Linked DNA regions of Nothobranchius furzeri. Each later gene encodes a partner of the first gene's protein in a complex. Links are inferred from orthologs where the notes say so. Each region holds a gene or a part of one and is shown on either strand. Other genes may lie near its edges.

Region 1 (4,546 bases):
ATTAAATAAAAGTGCCTGTGGGGAATTTGAGACATATATCTCTTGCTCTCAACTGTGTTTAGATGGATGGATGAGTAGATGTTGGAATTTTAATGTTTTTTAGGATTATCAAATCTTTTATCCTGTTTTCTGTGAAGAGGTATGTTTTAAACATCTGAATTTTCAGAAAATGCATCGTGATAAAATCGTGATAATGATTTTTCTAAAACAAAATTGTGATATGATTTTTTTCCCATATCACCCACCCCTACCTCAAACAGGGCACCTGAGTCTTTTCTTCAGAGTAGGACTTGTAAGGCATTCATTCCTACTAGAGACCTCTGCAAATGTGTTAAAATTTGAGTGATGTTGATCTTTAATCTCTCAAGATTGGTAGGACTTGCTGAATGTTGACTTTGATAACTTAGTGAATGATCATGGCTGCAGGCTAGTAACAACTGTTTTTCCACAGAGCTGACTTCAGAATACGCTGCAACCAGGAAACAGTTTAATAGAAGTCTGAGTGAGTTTGGTTTGATCCAGGTAGGGGAGTTACCTCTGAGTGGAATGTGTTCAGTGAATGGTTGTGTTAGAAATGTGTGAAGAGTTTGTTTTGATCCTGTAGGAGAAGTTTGCACTGATGGCCATTAATGCCTTTGTGATGGAAAGCATGGCATACCTGACAGCTGGGATGATGGACAGACCAGGAGTACCAGAGTGTTCCCTCGAGGCTGCCATGGTGAAGGTTAGATTGCTTTGATATTTTATCTTCATATGAAACTAGTGTGAGACAACTGTTCTTACAGTGTCTTGTCTGTCCTCTGCAGGTGTTCAGCTCCGAGGGAGGCTGGGTCTGCTGCAGTGAAGCTCTGCAGGTTCTGGGAGGGCTGGGTTATACCAAGAACTATCCATTTGAGCGCTACCTCAGGGACTGTCGCATCCTGCCCATCTTTGAGGTACTGGATAAACTAGTGAGATCCACATTGGAATGTTCTAGCAGCTAAAAGACATTTTTTTCTAATGTACTGGTGAAACTTAAATGTTTTCAACAGAAATTATATGGAAACTGAGTTGCAGCCACCACTCAGATTTTCTTTTGCACTTGTGCATGTGTCGTGCATAGGCGAGCCAGCGACGTGATCCCAGAATGAAGAAAAATGACAACTTTTCGTTGCTGTCGCTCGGACAAGGACCAATCAGTGAAGGTTTCATTGATTGACCAATGAGCAGACAGGATGCTTCCCAGTACATTGTCGAGCAAACGAGAAGGAAAAGTTCATACTTGCAGCATCATATCCCAGAGCATTAGAAAACTTCTACAAAAGAACATAGAGATCTTCACAAAAAAGGCAGCGGCATGGGGAATTGTTTTTGATTTAGCATCACTGGCAATGGGCACCTGCCAGTAACCTCGAGCGAGGTCCAGAGTTGTGAGAAACGGGGGTGGGGGGTGGGGGGGGGCTGCAATGCACATAAGACGCAAACTTACATTGTAAAGAAGGAACATGAGGGATTGTCGCCCATGATAACAGTTCTGGAGGGTACATGTGTTGTCAATGAATTGAGAGTCATAAAGTCCACGCCAACAATTAACTCACTCACTGCCAATGACGACTAAAGTCGTCATTTTAGATCCAACCGTTACTTTTAAACTTGAAATTTGCCCCCAAAGTCGCTGCCGGCTTCTGATCCGCCGTCCTTTTGAAAATACTGCGGTGTGTTATGGGTGATTTTTGACCAAGGCTAGGCTACAAGAAGACACCTCCCGTGTATCCTCGCTCAGCTAGCTAAACGGCTAACAAACGGAGAACACACCCCTCAGTAGAACATGAAAATTGGAACACGTGTTGGCGGCTCCCGATGACGTATCTCCTAGGCAACTGGGGCGGGGCCAAGATATCAAGGCAAGGCATTGAGAAACACCCAGGATAAAAGGTTGTTGCTGGATTATGACATCATTCCTTTGCAACCAACAAAGTCTTAAAGTGACACAAACCCATTATATCTGTTACACAGCGCCAGGGTAAAGCCAATAGAAGGAAAACACTGTACCCTTTAGCAGGACTATAACTTCAAAAGTTAGTCTGTGATAGTTTTTCTCAGTGAAGCACAACCTTTGAATGAAATTACCCCTAAAACTATCCTACCAAATGTGCTGATAAAAGTTTTGTTGAGCCCATCCTTGAGAGAAAAAATTGTTCTGAATGTATTGTTTGTGTCCAGGGAACCAATGAGATCCTGAGGATGTACATTGCTCTGACTGGAATGCAGCATGCTGGGAATGTCCTCACTAGGAAAGTAAAGTATGTGTCTATAAGGCCTTTTCCACTACTCATTGTGGCTTGACTTGGCTCGGCTCTATTCTGCACAGTTTGGGTGGTTTTCTTTTACAACTTTTCTAGTGGGAGAACTCGTTGTAGCGGGTTGGCACATTACAGTCACAGGGATATGTAGTGGTAGTTTTGTCAGATGCCAGCTGAAAAACTCTGGAGTAACAAGTCACTCTTGACGGTTTTAGGCAGAAAATCTAAATTCTTAAGATTAACTAAAACACAAAAATAATGACTACAAGTGTCTACAGCTCTATTAGACATTGACTTATTTATACAGTTTATCAGCAAAGAAAAGTTCATTTGGGGATGACTTACTCTTTCAAGGTCAACTGTACTCATGTTTAAATACACGTGCAGTGGTCTCTAGTAGGAATGAATGCCTTATAAGTTGTACTTTGGGGGGAAATAAGCTCAGATGTGCCTGTTTCAGGAACTAGAAGTAAGCCACCTCAGAGGTAAGCTTCAGACGGCATGATTTGGAGTCTTATAGGGAGCCTAAGTCACGCCTGTCTACTTCCGGAACATGGGTCACCAGAAGAATTAAAAATTATTGCTTATTTTCGAACAAGGGGAAACATTATTTTAGGTTTTCTGTGAAAATGCAACCAGGACTACAAATGCGCATCACCAATATGACGTCATCGAACCAGACACAAAGAAGGTCATTATACCATACCATACCAATTTTATTTATATAGCACATTTAAACACGGCATGAGAGCCGACCAAAGTGCTGAACAAAACACACAATAAAAACAATCAAAAATAAAAACTAAATCCATTAAAATCAAGTAATCCAACCCTAAAAGGAAAGGTAGAAAGGGAATAAGTTAGACAGAATTAAAAGCCAGAGAATAAAAGTGAGTTTTTAAACGAGACTTAAAAAGGGAAAGAGAGGAAGAGAGTCTGATCGGGAGGGGCAAGTGGTTCCAGAGCTTCGGTGCACAAACTGAAAAGGCGCGCTCCCCGCGGGACTTACAGCGAGAGCTAGGGACATGTAGGAGGTGTTGGTCAGCTGAGCGGAGAGATCTTGTAGGGACATATGGGTGAATGAGCTCAGACAAGTAGCCAGGTGCTAAGTTATTTAGGGATTTAAACACAAAAACCAGGATCTTAAACTCTATCCGGAGATGGATGGGGAGCCAATGGAGATTTGCTAAAACCGGAGTGATGTGTTCCCGCTGCCTGGTGCCAGTCAAGAAACGAGCTGCTGCGTTCTGCACAAGCTGAAGTCGAGCGAGAGTGGAGGAGGAGATACCGTACAGCACTGAGTTAGAGTAGTCGAGACGGGAAGCAATAAATGCATGGACAACTGAATGAAGATGACGCCTTTTTAAAATGGGCTTAACTTTAGAGAGACGCCTCAGGTGGTAATAACAGGTCTTAACTACCTGGTTGACATGAATGTCCATTATGGTTGTAAGTTCAGCGAAATTCAAACCCTGCTTTCGGGGAGAAATAACCATCATAAATCTGGTCATGTGGCAGCTACGCTAGGGGAGAGGAGATTTTGTGGTGACTTCATATATGCGACGTACCAACGATTGATTTGTAGACATGCTAATTATGAATTTTTACAAGCCGATAAATCTCAAAGTACGTGACTGGCGTGGTTGAAATACACATTACTTTTCATTTAAATTTAAGTACAACATATGTGCGATTCAGGGCTTAAGGGAAAGCAGATTTAAAAATAGCTCTTTTAGCCCCGTTGACTTGCATTCATGTTTTTGTTCTTCTGGAGACTCGTGAACTGACTGGAAAGAGAGGATCACCTCACCTCCGCCTGGACCAGTTTGGAAGTGTTCTCATTTAGATAGCCTTGGATTTTCCCGCACGCAACCGGATGTCTTTTCAGCCCTCTTCCTGAGGCAGTCTGCCTGGAGCTAAACTGGTCCAGCACGCATGCTGCTGACTGATTGTCTGGCTCAAAATCATGCGTAGCAATACGGGAGCCTCGGATTGGTAAATAGGATCAGTCTGCCGGGGCTTCCTGCATGTGCGATTCATTATCATTCTGGATGCATGGAGCTAGCGACCCTCTGACTGAAGCTGTTTTTCTCTGTCTCTCACTGCTGTGAGGAGCGCACATGCACGCATGCACACACACACACACACACACACACACACACACACACACACACACACACACAGTACTGCTAGACAACAGCAAAGCAGAATTTATAATCTTAAGAGTTAGCAGGGTATCCGCGGGTCCTTAAAAAGTCTTAAAT
Region 2 (4,146 bases), on another chromosome or scaffold:
TAAGAGTGACACTCACTTGGAGAGCAAACTTATTTTAAAGGAAATCTGTTTTTATTTATTGCAGAATAAATTAAAAGGAAGCAGGCTTCTGCATTATGGTTCTTTTTTTCTGACACAGCACAAACCGCAACGCAGTAGGATAAAACACGCATTATGAACGTACAAGAGGAAGTAGGCTTTGCTAACTCAGCAATTTGCTGTTTCTCACCTGAGCCGATGTTTTGCAGCTGCATCCAGCTTCCTGAGCTCTGAAAATTTGATCTGGCTGAGACGTCCCGACCCATTGGTGGTCCGATCCACAGTCTCATCGTGCATCAGTATTGGGACCCCATCAGCGGAGAACTCCAGGTCTAACTCCACACCAGTTGCACCATTCTTACTGGCCTGCAGGTAAAAGCATTGGAGAACCAAGTCACCGTGAGCCAAAAAAGTAGATGCATTAAAATATCACATTATAAACATTTTGACGTGTGTCGTACACACTTTGGTTTAGTTCATTTGAAAATAAGCACGTTTAGATTTCAATCTCCTTAAATGGTTAGATAGTGCAAATGTAACCTGGGAGAGCTGTATCACACTGTGTGTGTGTGTGTGAGTGTGTGTAAATTGTGTGGGTGCAGCACTGGGCCGATTGGGGGAAGCTCAAGTCATCGTCACTACCTTCATACATGTTGGTTTGGTGAAGACAATTCAACTTCCCCCTGGATTTGAACTGGTCTCCCTGCCCTGTTTTGTAGGCACAACCTGCACAGACCGAGCTTTTATTTGGACTTTTAGCTTTTGCAATCTTTAATAAATTATCTATTTTTGAAGCGATCCGATTCTGTGCTTCATTGCCCACATTAATGCTGGTTGGTCAGACTCACTTCATGTAACATCTTGGGGGCTGATCTGCGGGTGTTACACAAATGTGTATTAAAGTGGAGGTATTACATTTTTAATCAATGACTAACTAAATCTCGCCATTAGAAGAAACAGCCGCTCTAGGTCGTGTGAAGGTTAACGGTTTAACGTCTTCCCTCCCCAGTGTCCCTTCTCACCTCCCGTATGGCTGCTATTGTGTTCTCCGGTGCGTCGTGTCCTCCGCCCCGGTGAGCGATCACAGACACCTTACCGCTGCCCACTGCACGGGAGTCTGGATGCAACACCTGCCGGGCTCGGCTGGTCGTCACCTGCGGGAACCGAAACATGGCTAGAAAGAAGTAGAGGGAAGCGGTGAGGACAGCCGACCACACCGGACTCCGCGTCCCCAGCAGGACCACCACGAGGACAAGTGAGTAGAGGGTGACTTCATCTCCCAGCTGAAGCATTGTAGACGACTTCTTGGGTTCACGAGCGCAGATTTTCTTCAGTTTGACATTTTCTTTCCTGTTAAGCTATTTTTCTTGGTTAAAAACGCGATGTTTCACACACATCCATGCTCCGTGTTATATTCTGACAGCAGCTATTAAGTGGAGCATTAAACCACATCTAAGCCGGAGAAAGCTAGAAACTGCTAGGACGGTTGAGCCGCTGAACGACCAAACGGGAGGACAACATTTCAGGTGGCACGTCGTAACGGCTGTGACCGGATGTTACGTAAAACAGGCGCGACCTTTGTCAAAGTAAACCAATAAAACTAACTCGTTATTTCACGAATCACACATTCAATGACATTTATTCTTCTACACTAAAACAACTGTAAATCCCACTTTGCTGGAGAACATATCTCGGAGGCTTGAAATATATTTCATTAAGTGGGGAAAACATTTTTCGACGGACCGAAACACATCTCGGCGCATCCCCGGATGTGGTTCTAAATAGGTTCGCTACATGCCGTTTGCAGCTCTTATTCAGTGTGAACAATTTCATACATTTTTTAAATTAAAATGTATACTTTACTAATGTTTCTAATGTGAGGAGAGTAAACGAGATCTTTAGGAACACACGGTTGTAACATCCGGGTCACAAAGCTGGACGTCTTCATGCCAAAAGTGGACTTGGGACTATTTTTGACTTTACCTGTGAATTAACCAGTCGTTGGCCATGGTGAGCATCATAGTGAGACTATTAATATTACTGTTATTACAGTGTTATCAAATTCAAAGGAATTGGTGGATCAAATAGATCAAACAATCCTACCCGCGAAATGCCCTTGAGCTTGATTTGATTCAGCTAGGAGATTAATTTGACCTCATTCTGAATAAGGGTTAACAGTTTTAATGTAAAACAGATCGAGACTTTATTCTGCTGTTAATATTTGGCTCAATTAGGTGACTGCATATTGCCTGACTGAATGTCGTATTTAATGTTTTTTTTCCCCCACAGATCAGGTCGATGTTGCTGAGCAGATTAACCCACCACACCCTGTCCTGCACAAGAGGATCATGTTTACTCTCTGGACGAGTGTCTAATGGTTTACAGTCTCATTTTTCAGGTCATACACCCATCCATCAGACCTCCCATGGACCCCTCACTCCTAAAATCACAACCTCCGTCAGATACTCAGACCTATCCACGCAGAAATTCTCTATGATTTACACGCTGCCACACATTAAGCTTCTCAGAGTCGTGTCCAGGCTCAAACTGCTCCAAACTGCAATCACTGCGGTCATCATTCCACCCATGTATTTCCTTTACTTCCAGGGTGACGTGTCCTTCTTTCTAGTATGCTACTCTACGGGGATTGCACTGTTTGCTGGTGTCATGCTGTATACTATGAGTCACTTCTTTAGAAGGGTTGTGGGGATGATGTACCTGGATCCATCCCAGACCACACTCAAAGTTTCTCACCTCACTTTTTGGGGCAAGCGTCAAGACACCTACCTACCCGTGTCAGACGTTTTGACCATCTGGGACACAGGAGACATGGAGAATGAGACCATACTGAAACTGAAGAGATACAGTAGTCCAGAGACAATGTATTTTTCTACTTATTACGGACGCGTTGTTGACAAGCAGGGCTTTGAGAGAGTGTTTGGGAGGCTAAAATAATTCTTCATTCAAAATGTGATCAACTAAATCACTGCTTTCAAGTATTGTAATAAGATCCAACAAATATACAAAAATATCCTGTTTTGAAATAAATGATTCAATTTCAATGTTTTCATTTCTTGATTTAAATAAATGTGACTAATGAGTGTCTGACTCTAGCCTCTTTACCTGGCCAGGTGAGTCGGACAGGTAAATGTTTTGATGTGTTTAATATCTGATGGCTCTGCAGAGTGGATCTATTCCCTTTACTGTTGATCTTATTGGTCCATTAGAGGTCTGAATGTGGTCATAAAACCCCCCTGGAGTTTTAGAGGAATCCTGCAGTTGAGTTTTCTTCCAACCTGATCATCCTGCATGGAAATGTGACTATTGATAAATTTTATTTGGAAAATCTATAATTTTTTGGGTTTCTTAATAGAATTCTATATGTTACAGATAAAAAAACTAATATTGTGAAGCAGACTGATTATGGTCTCGTACACAAGTTATAAAAAATTTAAGTTGACAAATTACAAATATCAGAGACACTGCAGTGAGGCATTTTCAATTAAAACATTTTCAGCTATTTGTAACATACATCTTTAGACAAAAACATCTAATCAGTTCTTCCAATAAACATTCAAATAATTACAAGATAAAATCCATGCATTTGAGTTTCCTGTATAGGAAATTTTCTCCAAACTCATCAGAAACACTTTTCCATTGCAACTCAGTCAAAAAAATAAAGCAAAATTATGCTGCAGATTTAAAATGCACTGGTAATAAGCTTTTATCAAACACGAGGGTCAATTATTTCCTGTTTCTCATATCATCTTGTATGTTGTTAAAACCTTTTGGCAGGCCTTTGGAGCATTTAGTGATTATACCAAGAGTCAGTAGATCCCATAGAAACAAAATAGCCAAAAGAGAATAAGAGCTAACAGCAAGAAATGTCCAGGGAAAATTACTAAAATGAAACAAAACTTTTGCATCTTTAGTAAATGAGACAAAATCCACCAAGAGATATAAATGAGAATGTTTGAAAAGATGGTTAACTGACAGAATTTTAAAACAAAACAACCCCTGAAAACCAACTGTTACAAATTTACAAAATAGCTACAATGAAGGTCAAGACAGCAGAAAAGTGACAATAAATGTTCAAATTAAATTACAAACGAAAAAAAAATAGAACTG
Region 3 (4,976 bases), about 82 Mb from region 1:
CCCTGGCTCATCCCTTTAGTTATGCTGTATGGGTTTCGACTGCTGGAGGAAGTACTGGGTAACCCTGGCTCATCCCTTTAGTTATGCTGTATGGGTTTAGACTGCTGGAGGACATACTGAGTTACCCTGGCTCATCCATTTAGTTATGCTGTATGGGTTTAGACTGCTGGAGGACATACTGAGTTACCCTGGCTCATCCCTTTAGTTATGCTGTATGGGTTTAGACTGCTGGAGGACATACTGGGTAACCCTGGCTCATCCCTTTAGTTATGCTGTATGGGTTTAGGCTGCTGGAGGACATACTGAGTTACCCTGGCTCATCCCTTTAGTTATGCTGTATGGGTTTAGGCTGCTGGAGGACATACTGAGTTACCCTGGCTCATCCCTTTAGTTATGCTGTATGGGTTTAGACTGCTGGAGGACATACTGGGTAACCCTGGCTCATCCCTTTAGTTATGCTGTATGGGTTTAGACTGCTGGAGGACATACTGAGTTACCCTGGCTCATCCCTTTAGTTATGCTGTATGGGTTTAGACTGCTGGAGGACATACTGGGTTACCCTGGCTCATCCCTTTAGTTATGCTGTATGGGTTTAGACTGCTGGAGGACATACTGGGTAACCCTGGCTCATCCCTTTAGCTATGCTGTATGGGTTTAGGCTGCTGGAGGACATACTGAGTTACCCTGGCTCATCCCTTTAGTTATGCTGTATGGGTTTCGACTGCTGGAGGAAGTACTGGGTAACCCTGGCTCATCCCTTTAGTTATGCTGTATGGGTTTAGACTGCTGGAGGACATACTGAGTTACCCTGGCTCATCCCTTTAGTTATGCTGTATGGGTTTAGACTGCTGGAGGACATACTGAGTTACCCTGGCTCATCCCTTTAGTTATGCTGTATGGGTTTAGACTGCTGGAGGACATACTGGGTAACCCTGGCTCATCCCTTTAGCTATGCTGTATGGGTTTAGACTGCTGGAGGACATACTGAGTTACCCTGGCTCATCCCTTTAGTTATGCTGTATGGGTTTAGACTGCTGAAGGACATACTGAGTTACCCTGGCTCATCCCTTTAGTTATGCTGTATGGGTTTAGGCTGCTGGAGGACATACTGGGTAACCCTGGCTCATCCCTTTAGTTATGCTGTATGGGTTTAGACTGCTGGAGGACATACTGGGTAACCCTGGCTCATCCCTTTAGTTATGCTGTATGGGTTTAGACTGCTGGAGGACATACTGAGTTACCCTGGCTCATCCCTTTAGTTATGCTGTATGGGTTTAGGCTGCTGGAGGACATACTGGGTAACCCTGGCTCATCCCTTTAGTTATGCTGTATGGGTTTAGACTGCTGAAGGACATACTGAGTTACCCTGGCTCATCCCTTTAGTTATGCTGTATGGGTTTAGGCTGCTGGAGGACATACTGAGTTACCCTGGCTCATCCCTTTAGTTATGCTGTATGGGTTTAGACTGCTGGAGGACATACTGGGTAACCCTGGCTCATCCCTTTAGCTATGCTGTATGGGTTTAGACTGCTGGAGGACATACTGAGTTACCCTGGCTCATCCCTTTAGTTATGCTGTATGGGTTTAGGCTGCTGGAGGACATACTGAGTTACCCTGGCTCATCCCTTTAGTTATGCTGTATGGGTTTAGACTGCTGGAGGACATACTGGGTAACCCTGGCTCATCCCTTTAGTTATGCTGTATGGGTTTAGACTGCTGGAGGACATACTGGGTAACCCTGGCTCATCCCTTTAGTTATGCTGTATGGGTTTAGACTGCTGGAGGACATACTGGGTAACCCTGGCTCATCCCTTTAGTTATGCTGTATGGGTTTAGACTGCTGGAGGACATACTGGGTAACCCTGGCTCATCCCTTTAGTTATGCTGTATGGGTTTAGACTGCTGGAGGACATACTGAGTTACCCTGGCTCATCCCTTTAGTTATGCTGTATGGGTTTAGACTGCTGGAGGACATACTGAGTTACCCTGGCTCATCCCTTTAGTTATGCTGTATGGCTTTAGACTGCTGGAAATACTGGGTAACCCTGGCTCATCCCTTTAGCTATGCTGTATGGGTTTAGGCTGCTGGAGGACATACTGGGTAACCCTGGCTCATCCCTTTAGCTATGCTGTATGGGTTTAGGCTGCTGGAGGACATACTGGGTAACCCTGGCTCATCCCTTTAGTTATGCTGTATGGGTTTAGGCTGCTGGAGGACATACTGGGTAACCCTGGCTCATCCCTTTAGTTATGCTGTATGGGTTTAGGCTGCTGGAGGACATACTGGGTAACCCTGGCTCATCCCTTTAGTTATGCTGTATGGGTTTAGGCTGCTGGAGGACGTACTGAGTTACCCTGGCTCATCCCTTTAGTTATGCTGTATGGGTTTAGGCTGCTGGAGGATGTACTGGGTAACCCTGGCTCATCCCTTTAGTTATGCTGTATGGGTTTAGGCTGCTGGAGGATGTACTGGGTAACCCTGGCTCATCCCTTTAGCTATGCTGTATGGGTTTAGGCTGCTGGAGGACATACTGAGTTACCCTGGCTCATCCCTTTAGTTATGCTGTATGGGTTTAGATTGCTGGAGGATGTACTGGGTAACCCTGGCTCATCCCTTTAGTTATGCTGTATGGGTTTAGACTGCTGGAGGACATACTGGGTAACCCTGGCTCATCCCTTTAGTTATGCTGTATGGGTTTAGACTGCTGGAGGATGTACTGGGTAACCCTGGCTCATCCCTTTAGTTATGCTGTATGGGTTTAGGCTGCTGGAGGACATACTGGGTAACCCTGGCTCATCCCTTTAGTTATGCTGTATGGGTTTAGACTGCTGGAGGACAACATCTCACTCTGTTGACCTCGCATACTGAGGACACGCTAAAACCCGTAGGGGTTTGTTCCCGGGCCAGGTGTGCTCGTGTTTACGACACTGCCTGGTTAAAAAGCTCACCTGGTGCTGACGGTGGTTCTGGTTGGTCTGACCGGAGGCTGGTCTACCGGACCGGAGCAGCAGCGGCAGGAGGCTGCGGGAACACCTCATCGTTGCGCTTTCCGACTAGCTCACAGCTAACAGGACGAGACAACCAGGTGGGCACTTAGGTTTCAGGTAAAATGACATCATCGTTACATTTATGTATGCTGTAGCAGACAGCTAGTGTCGCGCGCTGCCTGAACCGGATGTTCCTCTAACAACAGCAGGCTGAAAAACTCACTGTGAATTCAGTCTCCTTCAAAACTCGTCTCTGTGCTCGCCTCCATGTTAGAAAGCCGCGAGAACGTCCTGTTTCTACACCGAAATACTTCCCCTTGAACAGCGGGAACATTTACCGAGATAATCGTTCCGCTTGGCTTTTTTTTTTTCTTCTGACTCATTTTCGTCTAAAACTCAAGTATTTAATATGAAAATAAAAATGTGCTGCGGAGGCTAATTCATAACAAAAACTATTAAAACTGTAATCATGAAAGGCTAAAATAAAGACTGGTTTTACAGCATCACAAAAGGAATACGTGTTTTTATCATTTAAAGGAGCGACTGTTAGGAATCAGAACAAGCACACCACACAGACTACAGATTATTCATGAAAAACTGACAAGACAACATCAGTGTAGGGGCGACGGTGGCACAGGAGTTAGGTGCTCACCCGTAACCGGAAGGTTGCAGGTTCAAGCCCCGCTCAGTTTGTTGCTGCTGTTGTGTCCTTGGGCAAGACACTCAACTCACCTGCTGCTGTTGCTGGTGGTGGTCGGAGGGACCGGTGGCGCCTGTGCTCAGCAGCCTCACCTCTGTCAGCGTGCCCCAGGGCAGCTGTAGCTCATCACCACCAGGGTGTGAATGTGTGTGTGTGAATGGGTGAATGACTGATTGTGTTGTAAAGCGCCTTGGGGGGTTCCATCACTGTAGAAGGTGCTATATCAAACACAGGCCGTTTATGATTTAAAGACTATGACCTCTGGTTTCCTCCCACCTACCAAAAACATGCATGTTAGGTCAGAGTTGTTGTTTGTCTGTGTCGTGTGTGTGTCCCTGTGACGGAACAGAGACTTCTAGAATGGAAGATCCATTAACTCAAAGACAACAGCAGTCACAGTCAGTTTTATTGTCAATTCTACCACATGTGCAAGACATACAGAGAAATGAAATTGAGTTTTAGTACACACAATTCAGAGATCAGACATACATGGGCAAGACACATGACAAGAATTAGTGACTGTGGTCATTCGCAACACGAGTCGTGCTACCTTAAAAGATGAAAAGGGAATTACATGAGGATAAATTGGGGGAGGGGAAAAAAGGCACACCAGAGTTACTCCCGGCAGGGCGTAGCTTTACTATGCAAAAAAAAAAAAAACGCCTCAAACATATAAGCACGAACATCACAGTTCACAACATGAGACTCCGATGGGGGGGGGGGGGGGGCTGGGATCCTGTTTCCCCAGGGCGAGCAGCCCTGTGTGGCGCTCAGCCAGCTGTATCCACAGGAGGGAGGGAGATCTTGGAGAAGCGCAGAGCACATTTGAGTTCCTGCAGGTTGATGACCTCACTAGAAGTCCACAATCTGAAGGGGGGGGGGGGGGACGGGTTTTCACAACATCTGTTTGCATTCCTTCCTTCATGGGGGTTGTTGTCAGCAGCTCAAGGCTGCCTTGGCGTCAGATTTGGATAACAAGACTTTGTTTGGGTCAGGCTGAGATAATTTTCCTCTCTGCCTTGAAGTCTGTATTGATCATTCAAGTCCTCCAGTTAAGCCAGTTCAGGTTTTAATCATCCCCACACCGTCCGGTGACCCTCTCTGAGATAACATCCATTTTGTGCACTAATACCGGTAACGCAGCAAGGACATTGTCCAGCTTACGATTCACCTCGAGTAACGTCCCAGTCTGTGAGGTCACCGCCCAGGCGGTGCTTTCCGTGGGTGCGGGTCGCCCTCCAATCCCTACATCTGAACTAAAGCTTGTAAGCTGCTTTGGATAAAAGCA

The links.
Region 2: acad9 (region 1) and tmem186 share a complex: the UniProt entries of both Homo sapiens proteins name them as parts of the mitochondrial complex. The link is inferred for Nothobranchius furzeri from reciprocal best matches to the Homo sapiens genes ACAD9 and TMEM186.
Region 3: the proteins of acad9 (region 1) and ecsit are in contact, whole or in part, in a cryo-EM structure (PDB 8PHE), measured with the Homo sapiens proteins. The link is inferred for Nothobranchius furzeri from reciprocal best matches to the Homo sapiens genes ACAD9 and ECSIT. Residues at the interface, in NP_054768.2 of Homo sapiens: Leu180, Thr181, Asp188, Ala189, Ala190, Ser191, Ile192, Lys228, Lys239, Asp240, Lys241, Ile242, Phe293, Ala296, Met297, Leu300, Ile431, Met434, Tyr435, Leu438, Thr439, Leu441, Gln442, Gly445, Thr449, Leu516, Gly520, Lys521, Ile523, Met524; in NP_057665.2 of Homo sapiens: Pro321, Glu322, Glu323, Trp324, Asn325, Leu326, Tyr327, Tyr328, Pro329, Met330, Leu332, Asp333, Leu334.

What each region holds. Positions count from the first base shown.
Region 1 is NC_091743.1:6,044,670-6,049,215, forward strand, and holds part of acad9 (complex I assembly factor ACAD9, mitochondrial), read left to right. Parts: intron 1-451; coding exon 452-522; intron 523-604; coding exon 605-724; intron 725-806; coding exon 807-935; intron 936-2,202; coding exon 2,203-2,282; intron 2,283-4,546. UniProt on the Homo sapiens protein: As part of the MCIA complex, primarily participates in the assembly of the mitochondrial complex I and therefore plays a role in oxidative phosphorylation.
Region 2 is NC_091744.1:5,452,695-5,456,840, reverse strand, and holds tmem186 (transmembrane protein 186), read left to right. Parts: upstream 1-1,762; 5' UTR 1,763-2,025; coding exon 2,026-2,028; intron 2,029-2,307; coding exon 2,308-2,973; 3' UTR 2,974-3,119; downstream 3,120-4,146. Other genes in the region: gde1 (glycerophosphodiester phosphodiesterase 1), read right to left, coding at 209-384, 1,041-1,310. UniProt on the Homo sapiens protein: As part of the MCIA complex, required for efficient assembly of the mitochondrial complex I.
Region 3 is NC_091743.1:88,487,262-88,492,237, reverse strand, and holds the start of ecsit (evolutionarily conserved signaling intermediate in Toll pathway, mitochondrial), read right to left. Parts: upstream 3,328-4,976; 5' UTR 3,212-3,327; intron 3,066-3,211; 5' UTR 3,040-3,065; coding exon 2,950-3,039; intron 1-2,949.